Drosophila melanogaster: one gene and its partners. The gene in region 3 interacts genetically with the main gene of each other region. Each region holds a gene or a part of one and is shown on either strand. Other genes may lie near its edges.

Region 1 (7,260 bases), on a different chromosome or scaffold from region 3:
GATACTTTGCATACTATTATTCACTTTTTTGTAGGGTGGTGCACTAGCACCGCTGCAACCGGTTGGCGGATTGCTAATCGCGTACCGCTGCCGTATATCCGTCTATCCGTACCCGTATCCGTATCGGTGTCCCAAAACAAACGCTCACACGCACACACAAATACTCGCACGCTCTCGCGATTCGCCGACTAGCGCTGAAATCCGGTTCTCGATCGCTCGACGGTCCAAACAAGACTGAATCGGATGCTCAGATACTCGCCATCGGATTTAGATACAACGCTTAAACCGGCGCTCTCTCTCTCTCCCTCTCATCCTCTCTCTTTGCGCTTTCTGTGTGTGTGTGTGTCCGAAGGGGCGATTGTTTGGGAAATTTCTGGGACATTTCTCACCTGTTGCCTTGTGGACTGTGTTTGCTTGGATTTCAGCTGCAAATGTAGAACTTAATTATCTTTATAAGACGATAACTATTTTATTTTGAATATAAAACACTGATTAAACACTGATTGATTAGTTTAGTTTGTATATATTTATTTGCTTAACCAACAATATCCACACAAAGCCATGCCGAGCGATTTGGCGGAATATGTATGCTTACAAATGTGTTTATAATTTTTCACACGCTGATATTGAGGGAACATACATACATTAATATCAATTTAAGTTACTCGGAGTACAGTGCAAACTGCATCTATATCAATGGACAATAAAAAATACGTTGTACACAACCAAACAGTATTGAATTTTAATTTTAAGTTAATGCAAAATGAGTATTGGATTAGCGCAAATACTGCGATTTGAAGCATTTATAAGTTGTACAGAGTAAATGCTTTTGATAGAATATTAAAGGTTAACACTTGGGTATGGAGTACGTATGTTGTAATTGGTATCGAAGGTCAATTAAAATTCGAGGGAAGACACAATAGTGTTTACAACTAAGCTAAAACTAACAAAATCAATTAAAATTAAGTGGTTACCTAATAATTATTGTTATGTACAAGTTAAACAATGCGGAGACTTAGGTCAACACTTTGAGCGAGTTTTGTGTACGGTTTGTCTTGCGAGTATCTTAAGTAGCAGGTCAAGTCTTTACGGTTGAATCTCATGAGGATAGTTACTTTCATATGCTAGGTGTATGTACGTGTGGGGGTTTCTAAAATAAATGCTCCCCAGCTAAAGAGCCGGAATGAGAACCATGTGTTGTAGTCTATTTGTGTCATGACTGTGGACGAAACTTGTTCAGTTCTTGTTACCAGGATCTGAGCTATTGCTTCACACTTAAAAAGATATCGAACTCCAGCCACTTTAATAAGTTAAACGACAAGCAGTAAACTAATAAATTCAAGCTGGTATATATGTCGGACTATTGATTAAAATGTATGCATGTATATGGGAGTAATCTGTTATACATTTTTAAGCATTTTTTTATATTATCGCCTTAATTATTAAAGTGGCTGGATTTCAGCTCATGGCTATTAATTGTATATGGCTATTTGGCTTAACCTTATAATATCGTCCTGGAAATGGTTAAATTCGTATTTAGTTTCGACGACTTGCGTCCTGGATAATTATCTTGTTCTTCTGACGCGTCACTTTCGTGGCCGTCGGAGCTGGCATCAGACGCTTCAGCTGCTCCGGCCTGAAGCTGACCAGGGCCTTGTCCTTCACTTTTCCTACGGCTCCAGTGGTGGTTGTCGACGTAGTGGTTGCCGTGGCCGTGGTGGTTGACTCAATCAGGGCCGTGGATTCCTCGGCCGTGGACCCTGAGGAACCGGCTGCGGCAGCTGACGCATATCTGGTGAGCACATGGAACTTGGCAAAGATGTTGCGTCCGCTGCGTTGCTCTTTGTCCTTGTATTTGTCTAGCGCCGAGCCGGTGGGCATCGGCTTTGGCGCTTTGATCAGTGCCTTGCTTGGATTGCCGCCACCTTTGTAGAAATGATCGTAGTCGAAATCACTACTGGCCTGCACCGGCGGGGCGACACAGGCAGGGGCCAAAGCTCGTTCTCCGTAGCTGGCCGAACTGGCCGACGTTTCCTCCGCCATGTGACGCAGCATCAAAGTGAGTTTCATTTCGTGCTGGCGCTGCAGCAGCACCGCATTCCGTTCGCCTTCCAGTCTAGCCTGGCGCACGGCATTGGACAGAACACGCTCCTTCCACTCCCAGGCATCCCGCTCACGCTCCAACTGCACCAGCTGCAGCTCCAGCTTTCGTGAAGAGTCGCGCAAATCGATAACCTTCGTGAAGTATTTGTACAGAAGTGTTCGCATCTCCTCCGTTGAGAGACGATTTAGGCGTGCCATCAGCATCTGTTCTCCCTTCTCCCGCTGAATTCGGTCGCTCGTGTCGATGGAGCGGTGGCCCGTGATCATCTCGTTCTTGAATTCTATGGCCGCATCTATGGCCTCGATGGCCTCATCGCACTCGAGCAGCTTGCGCTCCTCCTTTTGCGTCAGCACCTTGTCCCGCTTAAGTTTGCGGTCCAAATGACAGCGTTCTTCCAACAACAAGTCACGAGTTCCGCGCAAGTTGCGGATCTCATGACGCAAGGTCTCCTGCTGTTCTGGTCCCGGCTGCTCCTCCAGGTTATCCGACTTCTCGCGTAAAATGTGATTAAGGTGCGTAATCCTAGCCTGTACTGCCTTTAACTGGCGGCCTTGTTGCTCGGGAGAACCTTGCGCCTTCACTAGCTCTTTGCCAGTCTCCCTGGATTCTCGTAGTTTGGCCAGCTCCGCCTCCATCTGGCAGCGCAGCTTGCACTCCTTTCGAAGCTTTTTCTGTAAATCATCGGCCTGTTTTCGCGACTCGCCCACCGATTGCTGTAGCTTCTTCACCTTCTGTCCGCTCTCACCCGCAATATGCTTCATTGAGCTGAGGTCTTCTAGTCGACGCTCGAGATGTCCGATTATCGTGGTCCATCGCTCAATCTCCGACTGATCCCGGCCTTGAACTAGCGCCTTACCTAACTGCTTCTTGGCCTTGTCGCACTCGGCCTCAAGTTTGGCACGTTTCTTGTGAAATCTTTGCTTTGCATGGCTGCGTGTATCGCTGTTCTTGACCAATTCGGCGATTATATTTTGTTTTACCTGGATTGTCTCTTCGATTTCCCGTAACTGTCGTTGCTTGCCCTCGATCTCAGCGACCAGTTTGCGCAATTTTTTCTGCAGCTGTTCAATAGGAGCAGTGGCGGCGGCGGCAGCGAGAGCCGCCTGACGGATTCCTTCGCCCGAAGAACTTTCCAGAGGATCGACGACCGACTCAGGATCGATGGGCGGAGGCGGCTGCTGGGAAGCTACCCGATTAAGCATGGCAAGCTCAGCAGTACTTAAGCTAGCACCTGGCTGAACACTTCTCCTGCGACCTATTAAAGCAAGGAATCAACATGTTACTGTATAAAAAAATGTTATTCAAGGCAAAGACTTACTGCCAATGCTGACTTTTCGATCATCACCATTTTCTTCTGGCGGCTGTGCCTCAATCTCGCGGTCTTGGCTTTGCATAACCGCCTTCGGATGCTTGGATAGATATTCAGCGTGTTTTTCAAGTATAAGAGCGTCTGTTTTGTCGCGAAACTCTTCCATTAGACTTTCTATCTTGTCGTCCAGATCGGGCCGATGCGACTCATTGTCTGTGTCGTTTTCGTTGTCGGAGTTTGGCGACTCCGAATTGGCTGCTTCAGAATTCACGTCCTCGGGCTCCTCGGCCTCCAGAATGGGAACCAACTGTTTTTGCTGACGCATAGCCTCTGTTGAGCTGAGACACTCCTCGCACTCCTGCTTGAGGAAGAGCCACTCCTCGATCTGCTCCTTCTCCACTTCAGTAATTAGCTTGGAGTCTATCAGCCTATAAATTTCTTTTGTCGTCAAAAGGCCCACATCGGAAATAATGTGTACACTTACTTGGAAAATAGCCCCTCGGCGTTGGTAACTAGTTTGGACCATTGGCTTGCTGCGAATTGTAGGCCAAAGTTGTCCCCTGGTCCCGCCTGCGACAAGGGTCCAGCAGAGGAATTGGATTCGGGAACAGGCTCAGCCGGCTGAACGATCATCGTGTTGTCGTCGGAGTAGGTGTTCATAATTACAAAATTACGTACGCACTGCACCTTAAAGGCGAACTGCAGGTTGCCAAGAGTTTCGGGCAAGTGCTCTTCCAGCGGTGACACGCACAGGATCACGAGCGTCTGAGCCCGTCCGCCGAACGAGTCCTTCAGGAGAGTGGTGAGCGTGGTCTGACCGTACGGAATGTTGCCATTAACCCCGTACATGAGGCCTGGATCTGTGAGAGTACTGATCACCTGCTCCAGCATACACAGGCCAGCATCGAGAGGACGTCCCGGTGGCTGGTCTCCACATCTCTCTGTGCCGCAGAGATCCGAGAAACTGGCCGTGGACAAGCGGTGCTGCAACAGCCCCTCCTTGGACACCCACTGCTGCTCCAGGGTAAGCGTGAACAGGGTGTGCGCCGGCAACGATTGGCGGGCCGACAGACCCACCTGCAACCAGTGGAAGACGGCATCTACGTTGGTGCAGTGTATGTTTCCCATGCCCAACAAGTCGCAGACATCACCTCCGCAAATTTCCACGAATCCCACGTTGATGGCATAGGTGCGTTCTTAAAGTGAAAATGGAAATGGATAACTATGCTTATAAGATCCTTTTAGTAAACTCACCTGGGTGCAACGATATGTGTGAGAAAATGTCACGGACACAAAGTTGGACGACTCCTTCGGTGGAATCCGTCAGAGTAGGGTCCTGGACGTTTCCGTAGAGTGTGTAGCTTTTGCCCTGGCCCCTCTGGCCATAGGTGACTACAGATGCGTCGAAACCTTCCAGGAACAGGGTGATGAGCGGAAAGACCGTCTGGTGGTACACTTGCTCCTGGGAGCTGCTGCTGGGCAGGGCGTGGGTGACCGGAACCGTGTGGGGACCGACTTGTATCAGTCCAGCTGCAATGCTGTCCATGGGATCTCCGCCTGGCAGGGCACTGGGCAATCCCAGGGCCGAAGCGCTGATGGGAATAGCCTGAACGCAATATGCGGAGTCTGGGTAATCCTTCTGACCACTGTCGTTGCCATTGGCATCTGGAATTGTCTTCGAATCGGCCGCACTGTCCTGCTCAGCATTCCCGTTTGGGTCCGTCTCTGAAATTGACGGATTGTCCTTCTCAGCCGCCGGAACTTGAGCCTCGGAGTCCTTGGAGTCCGCCCCCTCATCCACCGCCTGCGCATCCTTTTTGGGCTCTGTGGGGCCGAAGCTCCTCAACAAGTCCTTGAGCTCTCTATGCGGGAAGATGCGCACCGCTACCTGAATGGGTATTTCCATGGTGGTTAGGCAACTAGTCCTGGTCTCGCAGGAGCTCTTTCATTCGATATCCTGCTCTTTGTTTCGCATCTTTGCGCTTTCAAATACGTGCAAAAATTCAACTCCCTCCGAATCGATACAATGTGATAGTGTGGCCGACGCTAAAGCGCCAACCCAAGCCGAAAATACCGAATCCATGTAACAGTTTGTTACTGTAAAAATCAAAATCAGTTTCCAATCAAATTGCTGTCAAATGTCAATTTTAAGACTGTGAGCTCACAACTATTCTTCAAACTGGTGAGTAAAACCGAATTCTATAGATAGATTCTCGTCAAAAGACTTAAGCTTGAACTGCTGTTTTTTTTTAAATGCCAAATTGCTGCCGTGCTGTTGGTTGTGATCTTCGCTAACCATGGGCTTATATAGTATACACAGACAGTAAACTTTGGTATTTTAAAAGTTGCGATCAGCATGGTCGGTATATGCTAAAGGTCTCACTGAGCGCGTGTTTTTTTTTGTGCTAAACGCTTCGTTTTGAGAATTAAGTGCAGTAATCACCATAAATTAGCATGTCCAAGCGTCGAATCGAAGTGGGGGAGACCTACGGCAGCAAGGCGAAGAAGTAAGTGACCCGAGGCCAACATACGGCAGTAATGTAACGCTCCTTTCTCACCAGGGACCCGGAGGCGTCCTCCTCGTCGGCGGCAGCCGCTGCCGGCACAGTGGCTCAAATCCTGGGCGGATTCGTGCCCAACAAGCAACCGCCCACGATGAACCCGCTGACCAACACGCCGTACTCACAACGGTACCAGAATCTCTACAAGAAGCGCATTGCGCTGCCCGTGTTCGAGTACCAGGCGGACTTTATGCGGCTGCTCAGCCTGCACCAGTGTATTGTGCTGGTGGGCGAGACTGGCTCCGGCAAGACGACCCAGATCCCGCAGTGGTGCGTGGACTTCGCAGTATCCAAGGGGCGCAAGGGAGTCTCCTGCACACAGCCACGTCGAGTTGCCGCCATGTCCGTGGCCCAGCGCGTTTCGGAGGAGATGGACGTAAAACTGGGCGAAGAGGTCGGCTACTCCATCCGTTTCGAGGACTGCTCCACGGCCAAGACGCTGCTCAAGTACATGACCGATGGTATGTTGTTGCGCGAGGCCATGTCTGATCCCATGCTGGACCAGTACCAGGTCATTCTGCTTGACGAGGCTCACGAGCGGACCTTGGCCACTGACATTCTAATGGGCGTGCTCAAGGAGGTCATTCGTCAGCGCAGCGACCTTAAGCTGGTGGTCATGTCCGCCACACTGGACGCCGGCAAGTTCCAGCAGTATTTCGACAACGCACCGCTCATGAAAGTGCCCGGTCGCACACATCCCGTGGAGATCTTCTACACGCCCGAACCAGAAAGAGATTACCTAGAGGCTGCTATTCGCACGGTAATCCAGATACACATGTGCGAGGAAATTGAGGGTAAGTTGGTAAATGAGTTTAGCTTGGAGTTCATTTAATAGCTTGCTAGTTCATTGTTCTAAGAAGCATTTATCGATCATATGTTTACAATGTAAAAGTGCCAGGCAAAATATAAACTTTCCGAGTGCCGAAGGGCGGCAAATGCTTCGTATTTGCTTTAATGGTATTGTAATCATTCAAGTGTTTACGACTTTTGAATATGATCCTATTCAATGCCGGAAAAGACGCATTCGCTTTTTCCATTGTAAACTAAACCCCAACTTGATTTTGCTACTCTAGGTGATATCCTAATGTTCCTCACGGGCCAGGAGGAGATTGAGGAGGCTTGCAAGCGCATCAAGCGCGAGATCGACAATTTGGGCTCAGAAATTGGAGAGCTGAAATGCATTCCCCTGTACTCGACGCTGCCGCCCAATTTGCAGCAGCGCATCTTCGAACCGGCCCCGCCGCCAAATGCTAATGGCGCAATTGGACGCAAGGTCGTGGTGTCCA
Region 2 (5,025 bases), on a different chromosome or scaffold from region 3:
AATGTGCCACATTTCCTATAAAAAGGCTACATTCCCCGTTTTCGATTTCCAGACTACGCCCCTGGTGGCAGGCAAGGAATCTAGTGGTGGATCGCTTGAGTGAGTAATACCCCCTCCCCGCCCTCTTTCACCAACGGACAGCCGACGCCAGTGCATATGCAAAGATCTGTGCGGCAGCATCAGCTGTCAGCGAGAAAGAGACGGACGATGGTGGGGGGGAACGATTGGTAAGGGGGAACGATTGGTAAGGGGGAACGAACGGGAGAGCGCCGCAAATTAACAGCCCAAATACGCTTGTGTTTGTGTATGTGTGTGGCCCATGCGACTATTTCCATTTTGTTGCTGGCATTTCTTGCGCTCCTTATCGACGACAAAAGTGGCGCCGCCGGCATGACGGCAACAACATAAAAAACAGCACAGCAGCGACGAACAGCAACAAAATTACGAGTCAGCCCCACAAGCACGCTCACCAACACCAACACACCGCATCAAACACACTCGCGCTCTCTCGCTCACTCATACATACAGAATGCTTGCGTGCAGAGTAAAAAAAAGGCAGGGCGGCGGGCGTGCGAGCGAGAGGGAAATGCCTGGCGCCACTGACGTAATAAAAGAAATAATAGTAACGATGTCGGCGGCAGAGGCGTCGTCGGAATGGCGCCACACCAACACACGCTCACCTTAGACAGACACACGGACAGGGACGAGCGACGCGACGGTCGGTTTGTCAGCCGGTTTGACAAGTTGAAGAATCAACAATTTAAGGTTGAGGTGAGTATGAAATAATCTACCGCAGCCGTGGTTCAAAAGAGTACGTACCACCAGAGAGTGCGAGTGTGGTGGGAATTAGAATTGAAGGCGCTCTCGAAACTCTTCTGAAAAGTCATCAAGTCGAGAACTTAGCGTTCTTAAAGTCTAGCTTTGAATTAGAACTTATCAGAATGCATCTGAGTTTTTCAATCGGAAACAAAAAAAGGTATGTTTTAAACAGTAGCATTATCTTATGAGACCAATCTTAGGACTTTACTTATTTTGTCAAGAACAGAAACATAATTAATAATAGGAATCAATTTATAAGATCCTTCATTCCCTCCACATAAACCGTATAACTGCACGATTAATATTTGTCAATAATAAAAAATGCAATGCGAAAGCGACAGAAATAAATTATTTACATATGGACATACATCTAAAATTATTTATGATGTGCGATGTATGCACCACAGTTTTTAGCTTCAAAATTGCAAAGTAATTGATACCACCGTACTTTTGCTTTCAAATATTTACCAATCTTGAGTCAGCCGGAACAAAAACCCTTCCACATTTAAAACTATGAAAGATGTGTAATCCAGTGAACAATAGAGAGAGCTGTTTACGTTCATAAAATTCAGTATTTAGAGCAAGTCCAATACAAAAAAAAAAAATTGCACATCAACACTTCAAAAGCCATATATCGCACATTTAACAATCAATTGAAAACAGTCTATACTCAAGAATTTTTATTCAAACCCGCTGAGTGATTATTTTTTCCAAATTCACGTTTACAAATTTATATGTATATTTATATATACATACGTAGTTATGGACTTTCTGATAATGAAAGCATGAGTAATTGTAAGTCCAATTGGAAACTATAGCGATTTGGTAACAGATATTCGCGACTCGGTATTATATAAAATATAAAATTATCTTCGAAACCGCATCAGAAAATATTGAATATGAAAACTTAAATAACGCTAATGAGTGATAAGCATTTGTTTGTTGACTTAGCTATTTTGCATAATCACGAGTGCACCTCTTCAAATCGGCTTGATTTTGAGTTCTAAGGAGTGGAAATAGGTACTTACTGTTTAAAATTTTTTGTTAGGTGGTTTCCGTTTAATCCTTTCCTTATGTAGTATTACTTTTTGATATGTGTAGGTGTATTTGATATGTTTAGAGGTTCACTTGATAATTTGTATTTACATTTACTGCAGAAGAAACAAACTATTAGCAACGAATTTGAATTTGTTTAACACGTGCCGACGGGTTTTTGTTATTGGATTGGTAACCGCAGTCGATTTTTTCTTTTTTTGCTGCTGGTCAGTCACTTTTTCCTATGCATGTGTACGTTTGTGTGGATTTAATAAGGTGCGAGTAATGTGTTGATTTCGGTTGAATATTATGTTGAAGTAGCCGAATGCCGGAAAACAATAACAATTTTTAACGTGGTGGAAAAGGTGTTTTTTGTTGGCTTGCGATTTGCGCTCTGCTTTGATTCTGCCGGCGTCGCTACCACCGCTATATACGTATACGTTTGTTTGTTTGTATGGGCCAGTGCAGGTACAATGTGTGTACGTGGCTGGCGAACAATTGCATTTCTTTTCTTGCTGTTATTTGCTCAGTTAAAGCTTGAACACACTTATTATTTGGCCCGCATTTTCCCCCCGATGCTCATTGATTTTTAATTCGCACACGAACACAACCACAAAACACACGCACGCAAACGAGATCGAAGATCCGTTATCCGGGCGGAGAATTCTCGCTCTTTCTTTGCACACACAAACACAAACAAATGCATAGAATTCATAACAGCAAGCAGCAAAAATAAAAGATTTTCGCCTGACGATTTCCAATCCCCTTCGATTCTCACTTCAATTGATTTGCCTGCTGCACTCACACTTTTTCTATGTATTTCCTCCTTCACATTTCAGTTCTAGAGCGCACAACAACTTCACTGCACTTGTTTGTTGTTTACGACGCCCGCGTTTACAACAACAAAAACAAAACCCGTAAATGTTGCGAAAAAAGAGTCGGGGAAAGGCGAAAAAGTCCGATATTTAGGAACTGCGTTTTTTTGTCATTTAATTAACCCAAAAATCATTTAGCAGTCTCGAACACAAATAACGTTATTTCGGAAAATTTCTCGTGGCAATACGTCAAGTATCCATCTTTTCGTTGATATCTTTCGGATTTGGATTTCTCGAACGGCAAAAGAACACACAAGCGACGCGGTTGAAAATTGTTGGGGCAATGAGCGAAGCGCTAACTGTGCGGATTGATAGTCTTTGGAGCTGTGGGGAATAAACGTGGGAGAAACGCCTGAGAGAGCGCCTGGGAGAGGGAGGTTTAGAGAGAGAGAGAAAAATTAAGAGACCAAGAAATTGTAAAATTAGAATCATACATAAAGTTCCCGTTCTAACAATGTATAAGAACTTCAGTTTTATTATTAATTAGAAAAGACTTGTTAAAATATCTTCATATTTTTCACATTCCCATTCCTACTACAAGTGCTAAACCAAAGAATCCAAGACATCTGAGAGTGGAGAGCATCCGTTGGATGGCTACTATGGCGTGGTGAGTTTCGTTTCGCTTCCGCGGACAGATACAACCTGCGCACGCACACCCACACTCGCTTCATGCTGGCAGTGCCGTTGGAAATAGTGTTGGCTAACGCGGTAATTTCAAAAATTGATAAGTTTTCCTAGACAAATTATGTGGGAAATACTAAGCTGTCCTATAATATAGGAGAAATCTATAACTATATGTTTATAATTGAAAAGCCGTGTTCAGTATGAGCATTTTATAATTTAAGTTAAAAAAAGATTAATGTACCTTAAAATTTTATTTAAGATGTCTTAAAAGGTAAATGCTTAAAAGGCATACAAGGTTTAATTAATTCGAATCAAATTAAAAACTCTCAGTACATATTAGCCCCTGTTAAATACGTCTGTTGAAGTTGCCAAAAAACTCAACTCCCTCGATGCTGTCGAGAGCGGAGAACCTGAGGAAGCAACATCGACATTTAGCGCGGTCTTGGTTGCCGCAAAATGTGATGAATGGTTGTGATCAAGGGCATATCAGTTGCATTGCCTTGCCCATGTCTGCCAAACACACGGACGCACACACGCCCATACAAAGTGGCGCCCCTGCAGCGGCCCTACACACACAGAAACACACTTAAAGCGCGCAGCGAGGATCGCATACCGCACTGCGAGAAAAGTCGATGGAATTATCTATGCTAAAATTTTTTACAGTCGTTATTACTATAACTAATTCTCTAAATAATAATAAATATAAGTTTACCTTTAGTTCATCTATGACATACAGTACAGTGCAATACAGTGGCAACGTCGAATTTAGTTATTGTAGTTTATTGTAATTTAAAACCGGTATTACTTAAACGTGTAAGGAACACAAGATCACGTCCAGATTTTTCACAGTGCCAAGCAGACGCTCCAACAGGAACCCTGGTTCGTCAGTTCCAGTAGAAATACATAATTGTCTCTCGTTTGGACGACTCGAAAACACAAAAGCAAATAGGCTCCCGTCATTACGATAATAATAGGTCGGGAACAGGGAACACAGGCCACTTGTGGAGTGAAACCGGCAACCGGCGATGTTGGCAGGAGGAATTTGATCGCGTCGTGAGCGTTAAATAAGCGAGAGTCGGGCCCCTGACTTGCCCCGTGGAGGGGCATGGGTATTAACTCCGGAAAGGACGGCGGCAGGAGTTTGAATACATTATTTTCTTATGAGGCCAGAGACATTCCGCAAATGCTAAACAAATAATACGACAGCGAGGAGTAGCGTCCCACAAAGCATCTTATTTAAAGGGCCTCAATTATTCAGCAGTGCCTTTGTTATGGTTAACCCTTTTCTTAGAATATAAAAATATTGCAACTCTACTAAGCCAATTGCTCTTAAGCATAATATTGGGAAAAAGGTATTTCGAATGTATATATTAAAACTAAATGCTTACTTTATATTTTCGCCATTTTAAAACTACATCGGAGATATTACATTGTGGTTAGTTTTACACGTGTCTATCGCAACAGTCAACCTTATTAAAAGTTACGTCATTTAACTATAAACAAATGCACAACGTGGATAAGCACAAATATGTGTATGGCTTTTGTGTGTGGGAAGAGGTATGGTATATGGTTTGGGTGATATAGTAGATGGTCACCTATGAAATCTTAGCTCGCTCGGCTGTTTACGAGTTTTGTTGTTTGGAAAGTATCGGGTTACCGATTCGACTCTTTT
Region 3 (5,797 bases):
GTGAGCATGAGGAACTTCAACGAGAATAAGTCGCCGTTCAGCAGATCCTGCGCGTGTCCCAGTCGCCGGCTGCGCACGTGACGCAACTGTCGCACCATTGTAATCAAAAATAGGAACAGCGAGATGCTCAGCTGCCAGGTGAGAAGCAGCTGGCTGTTGCCGTGCGACATTACAAAGGCGAGAGCGTGGCCCAGCAGGTGCGACAGCGAGTAGTCCAGCACGAAGGCGTTGACCAGAGCCGTGGGCAGCGCGCTCGCGTTCCAGGACGTCATCATGATCAGGATCTGGGTGGTGAAGATGAAGGTGGAGAACTGCCAGGAGAGTAGGGCGCAGGCGGTGAAAAGCGACATGGCGAAGATCTTCGAAGGGCAAAGATGTTACTGAGCTTAATGCAATAAAGCACACCTATTACCATGAACATGCGAGATGTGTGCCGCTGTCGGTGTATGATCCTTCCGATGCAGATACACAGATAAAACATCTGCAGGAAAATGAACGGAAAGGCGAAGTTCTCCCGCGCCAGCGGCCGCTCATAGATCTTGGCCACGAAGCTGTGGAACATCAGGTACGAGATTACGCCGTATATGCCACCGAAAATGTTCTCGCTGAGCAGCGTTCCGTACAGGTAGAGTACCAGCAGGGTTACCCCGCCCATCAGCCACACGAACTCCAGATAGAACTGCATCGGTTGCACCATTGGATTGAAGCCGGAGCGCACTACGTGAAAGAAGTACCTTTGGGGAGCGAAAGTGCATCTGCATTAGTGGACTTTTTGGGCATCACTCCTCTGGCAGTCACTTACGCCGTGACCAGCTCCGGCAGCACGTAGAATCGCTGCAGCACATTGACACTGTGCGGATACTCGATGTCCGTGACGTTCTTCAGCTGCTCGTAGCCGTGCCAAAAGTCCGGCCCTTCGGCCAGCTGCTTGTAGAAGGCATAGTACAGGGCATCCTCGCGCCGCAGAAGCGCCTCCCGCTCCAGCTGATTGAGCTGCTGGATGTTGGTGCGCGTCTCGAAGATCACGCGCACATGCTGCACGTATAGGAAGAAGAAGCCGCAGCCTGGGATGCGGATTGGAATTGGGAGTGTGGTCAATGGCAGTGGGAATCCCCAACTCAATTAGACTGCCGCCTGGAAGCGGAAGAGGCGTGGCAGAAGTGTCTGCCGGTTGGCGGAAACTCACCGATCAGCGCGTGCGACAGGATCACGTACAGGTTGGGCTCGCGCATCGTGCTGCGATTGTGGGTGTCGTCTCACTGGGTGGCTGTGTTCAAATTGGCAATCATTATTTATTTCACAACGATTATTCCTGGCTCCGCACAATAAAAACCAGCCAGCAATCAGCTGTTCTTCGGCCGTGCTTGTCTAGGGTGACCGTACCGAGTTGCTGTCAAAAGGGTCATTTGTGTTGGTTTGGTCACACTGAATTTTAGGTACATTACGATATATAGGTACATACCTATAATTAGTTATATTATCTACTGCACTTTTGGAATTTTTAATTATTTATATTGCATATCATTTATTGCACTTATTAAGTAAAAATTTGTACATTAAGAAATATATACATATAAATATTTATAATATATAATAATATATAAGTTAAAGTTCGTTCCAACTTTTATCACTTAATAAATGTTTATTCGCAGATAATACTAATACCTACTGCCACAGATAAAAGCGCAAACTAGTCTTGTATTTGTCTTGGATTGTATCATGATCTGGTCTATATAGATTTTTAGGTACAATTGCTGTCCAGCAAAAGCGTCATTTATCAGAAAAGGAACCCTGTATGAGCAATCTAGTATTTTCATATACCTACGTACCGAAGCCGAGTTCCCACCTCGGAGTCAACCTGCTACGGTCATACCGCACGCACTTCAGTGGTAATCACATCCCAATCCGCAGCAAAACAAAGAATAACCATGAACCGCTACGCGGTAAGCTCGATGGTGGGGCAAGGATCCTTCGGGTGCGTATACAAGGCGACACGCAAGGACGACAGCAAGGTGGTGGCCATCAAAGTGATCTCCAAGGTGAGTGGGGCGGGCCAGGTGATAAAGCAACAAGTCCATACAACTAGTTCACACCATATTCATGTTCTGCAGCGCGGAAGAGCCACGAAAGAGCTGAAGAATTTGCGCAGGGAGTGCGACATTCAGGCCCGGCTGAAGCATCCGCACGTCATCGAGATGATCGAGTCCTTCGAGTCGAAGACGGACCTTTTCGTGGTCACTGAGTTCGCGCTGATGGACCTGCACCGCTACCTGTCCTACAATGGAGCCATGGGCGAGGAGCCGGCACGTCGGGTGACCGGGCATCTGGTGTCCGCTCTGTACTACCTGCATTCAAACCGCATCCTCCACCGGGATCTCAAACCGCAAAACGTGCTGCTCGACAAGAACATGCACGCGAAACTCTGCGACTTTGGACTGGCCCGCAACATGACCCTGGGTACCCACGTGCTCACCTCGATCAAGGGAACGCCCCTCTACATGGCCCCGGAGCTGCTGGCGGAGCAGCCGTACGACCATCATGCGGACATGTGGTCACTGGGCTGCATAGCCTACGAAAGCATGGCCGGTCAGCCGCCCTTCTGTGCCAGCTCCATCCTGCATCTGGTGAAGATGATCAAGCACGAGGACGTCAAGTGGCCGAGCACGCTGACTAGCGAGTGCCGCTCCTTCCTACAGGGCCTGCTTGAGAAGGACCCCGGTCTGCGCATATCCTGGACGCAGCTGTTGTGTCACCCCTTCGTTGAGGGACGCATCTTTATCGCAGAAACGCAGGCGGAGGCGGCCAAGGAATCGCCTTTCACAAATCCCGAAGCCAAGGTTAAGTCGTCAAAACAGTCCGATCCGGAGGTAGGCGATCTGGACGAGGCCCTGGCCGCTTTGGACTTTGGCGAGTCGCGACAGGAAAACTTGACCACCTCCCGCGACAGCATAAACGCCATTGCTCCCAGCGATGTTGAGCATCTTGAGACCGATGTGGAGGACAATATGCAACGTGTGGTCGTTCCCTTCGCGGACTTGTCCTACAGGGATCTGTCTGGTGTTCGGGCAATGCCGATGGTACACCAGCCGGTGATCAACTCGCACACTTGCTTCGTCAGTGGCAACTCCAATATGATCCTCAATCATATGAACGACAACTTCGACTTTCAGGCTTCCTTGCGGGGCGGAGGCGTGGCCGCTAAGCCAATAGTCGCTCCAACCGTACGCCAGTCGCGCAGCAAGGATCTAGAGAAGCGTAAGCTTAGTCAGAATCTGGATAACTTCTCTGTTCGCTTGGGTCACAGCGTCGACCATGAGGCGCAACGCAAGGCCACGGAGATTGCTACACAGGAAAAGCATAACCAGGAAAACAAGCCTCCCGCTGAAGCAATTTCCTACGCAAATTCTCAGCCCCCGCAGCAACAGCCACAACAACTTAAACACTCAATGCATTCCACCAATGAGGAAAAGCTGAGCAGCGAGTAAGTGGCCACTGCGCCTCATAGAATTTCTTTTACTAACTTTCCCCTTTCAATAACAGCAACACTCCGCCGTGCCTGCTCCCGGGGTGGGATAGCTGCGATGAATCCCAAAGTCCGCCCATCGAGAACGATGAGTGGCTAGCCTTCTTGAACAGATCGGTGCAGGAGCTGCTTGACGGCGAACTGGACTCATTGAAACAGCACAACCTGGTGAGCATTATTGTGGCACCGCTGCGCAACTCCAAGGCCATTCCACGGGTACTCAAGAGTGTGGCCCAGTTGCTGTCGTTGCCCTTTGTGCTGGTGGATCCTGTTTTGATTGTTGACCTCGAGCTCATCCGCAACGTGTACGTGGACGTAAAACTGGTGCCCAATCTCATGTACGCCTGCAAGCTGCTCCTGTCGCACAAACAACTCTCGGACTCGGCTGCCTCCGCCCCACTCACCACGGGTTCGCTCAGTCGAACGTTGCGTAGCATTCCGGAGCTAACTGTCGAGGAGCTGGAGACGGCTTGCAGTCTGTACGAACTGGTCTGCCACTTGGTACACCTGCAGCAGCAGTTCCTAACGCAGTTCTGCGATGCGGTTGCCATTCTGGCAGCAAGCGATCTGTTCCTCAACTTCCTCACGCACGGTAAGATTACCCTTAGATGGTATGAGCTGACTCCTGTAAACTGTTAGCCCGTTCCCGTTCTCCCGTAGACTTCAGGCAATCGGATTCAGACGCCGCCTCTGTTCGCCTGGCTGGGTGCATGTTGGCCCTGATGGGCTGTGTGCTGCGCGAGCTGCCCGAAAACGCGGAGCTTGTAGAACGGATTGTCTTTAATCCGCGGCTAAACTTCGTCTCGCTCCTGCAGAGCCGACACCACCTGTTGCGGCAACGTTCCTGTCAGCTGCTGCGCCTGCTGGCCCGCTTCAGCCTGCGCGGCGTGCAGCGCATATGGAATGGAGAGCTGCGATTTGCGCTGCAACAACTCTCTGAGCACCACTCGTACCCGGCACTCCGTGGGGAGGCCGCCCAGACCCTCGACGAGATCAGTCACTTCACTTTTTTCGTCACCTAGCCGGCACTTTCTTTTATTGGCCTCAGGCGTTTTTATCCGAGCAGATCCTGAATGTTGCCCTGGAAGTAGTCGAGCAGTTCGTCGATGTAGTTCCCGAAGCGGTCGAAGTTGAGCAGGTAGTCCTCGCTGCAGTCCTGTTCGTACATCTCGTTTAGCTTGGACACATCCTTGTCGGAGAGGCCGCGTCTCTGGCCCAGCGAGGCGTACGGATCCTGGAAGCAAAGGACAGGAGTCAGAGAGTGTAGACGATGCAAGCTCCCCCAAGTCATTACAAACATCTCATCGCTTCAACTAAAACTGCTAAGGTGTAGTCAACCATTCAGCTAAAGAATTCTCATTTGATATAGTTCCAACTGGACAAGGAAGCAAAATGCTTCGTCTATTCCTAGCATAGTTGCACGTCATTGGACCATGTGTTAATATAGGAATTCCTAATCTGAATATGATCAAATCACTATCACTATCGAATTTAAATATTTTATGAGCCACGGTTTTTGGCATTCCTAATGGAATCTAAGTTAATTGATAGGTGTTTTTGAATGCACATATTCAAGTGTGGTTTGTGCAAAATAGATTGATAGCATTATAGTTTGTATATCGAAATATAACATTTAGGTGTAGTAATTGTTAAGATAAGCGAATTTACTGTATGTCCATACAATAGTCCATTAATTCGCAGTATTACTATTGAATGTTAAACTGAACTCCTTTACAGTGTAAGCGATTTAAAATAATACTCAATTACATGAATAACTGGTAACCATTTGGGTTGGCCTACTCACCAATGGCTCTATGGTGGCTTTCCCGTTCTTGCTGAAGGCCCGCGAGCTGTAGTGCATGACGCTCTGGTAGTCGTACTCCACCCCGAAGTTGGTGATGTGGGTGCGGGCGTACTTGTTGAAGTTGTGCGCGTGCCCGTCGAGGATGTTCTCCCAGTTGATCTTGACGTACTCATCCCGCTCCGTGGCGCTCTGCTGGTGGTAGAAGCCGAGCGCGTGCAGCAGCTCGTGCACCACCACGCCGTGTGTGACGCACTTGGGTGTGTTCAGGTTGAGCACCTGGCCACCCGAACGCCGGCCGACGCTCGACCAGCAGCCGGAGTAGTTGCCCTTGATGAGCAGCCAGTGCTTGTCGCCCTGTTCGTACGGCCGGAAACGTATGCAGGTGCGGTCGTGGTACTCCTTGAAGGCCTTCAGTATGACCATGGTCTGGTTGGCGTCTGTTTGGAAAGGGTGTTTTACTACTTTGGACT

What was found. Genes that interact genetically often act in the same process or in processes that back each other up.
Region 1: of fu (region 3) and cos, changing one suppresses a phenotype caused by changing the other (phenotypic suppression), as found in Drosophila melanogaster (one study listed by BioGRID).
Region 2: of fu (region 3) and Dad, changing one suppresses a phenotype caused by changing the other (phenotypic suppression), as found in Drosophila melanogaster (one study listed by BioGRID).

What each region holds. Positions count from the first base shown.
Region 1 is NT_033778.4:7,381,661-7,388,920, forward strand, and holds cos (costa), read right to left. Parts: upstream 5,456-7,260; 5' UTR 5,320-5,455; coding exon 4,668-5,319; intron 4,610-4,667; coding exon 3,898-4,609; intron 3,842-3,897; coding exon 3,423-3,841; intron 3,360-3,422; coding exon 1,537-3,359; 3' UTR 516-1,536; downstream 1-515. Other genes in the region: Dhx15 (DEAH-box helicase 15), read left to right, coding at 5,868-5,920, 5,975-6,768, 7,048-7,260. UniProt on the Drosophila melanogaster protein: Regulates cubitus interruptus (ci) processing by recruiting multiple kinases to promote its efficient phosphorylation.
Region 2 is NT_033777.3:17,051,997-17,057,021, reverse strand, and holds the start of Dad (daughters against dpp), read right to left. Parts: upstream 3,016-5,025; 5' UTR 2,660-3,015; intron 2,126-2,659; exon of another isoform or gene 1,987-2,125; 5' UTR 1,848-1,986; intron 1-1,847.
Region 3 is NC_004354.4:18,655,912-18,661,708, forward strand, and holds fu (fused), read left to right. Parts: upstream 1-1,843; 5' UTR 1,844-1,928; coding exon 1,929-2,039; intron 2,040-2,111; coding exon 2,112-3,481; intron 3,482-3,540; coding exon 3,541-4,115; intron 4,116-4,183; coding exon 4,184-4,545; 3' UTR 4,546-4,577; coding exon of another isoform or gene 4,578-4,757; 3' UTR 4,758-5,293; downstream 5,294-5,797. Other genes in the region: CG6659 (uncharacterized protein), read right to left, coding at 1-359, 413-734, 803-1,064, 1,187-1,232; CG6696 (uncharacterized protein), read right to left, coding at 4,578-4,757, 5,328-5,764. UniProt on the Drosophila melanogaster protein: Probable serine/threonine-protein kinase; maternally required for correct patterning in the posterior part of each embryonic metamere. May be involved in control of cell division during metamorphosis and ovarian development. May interact with costal-2.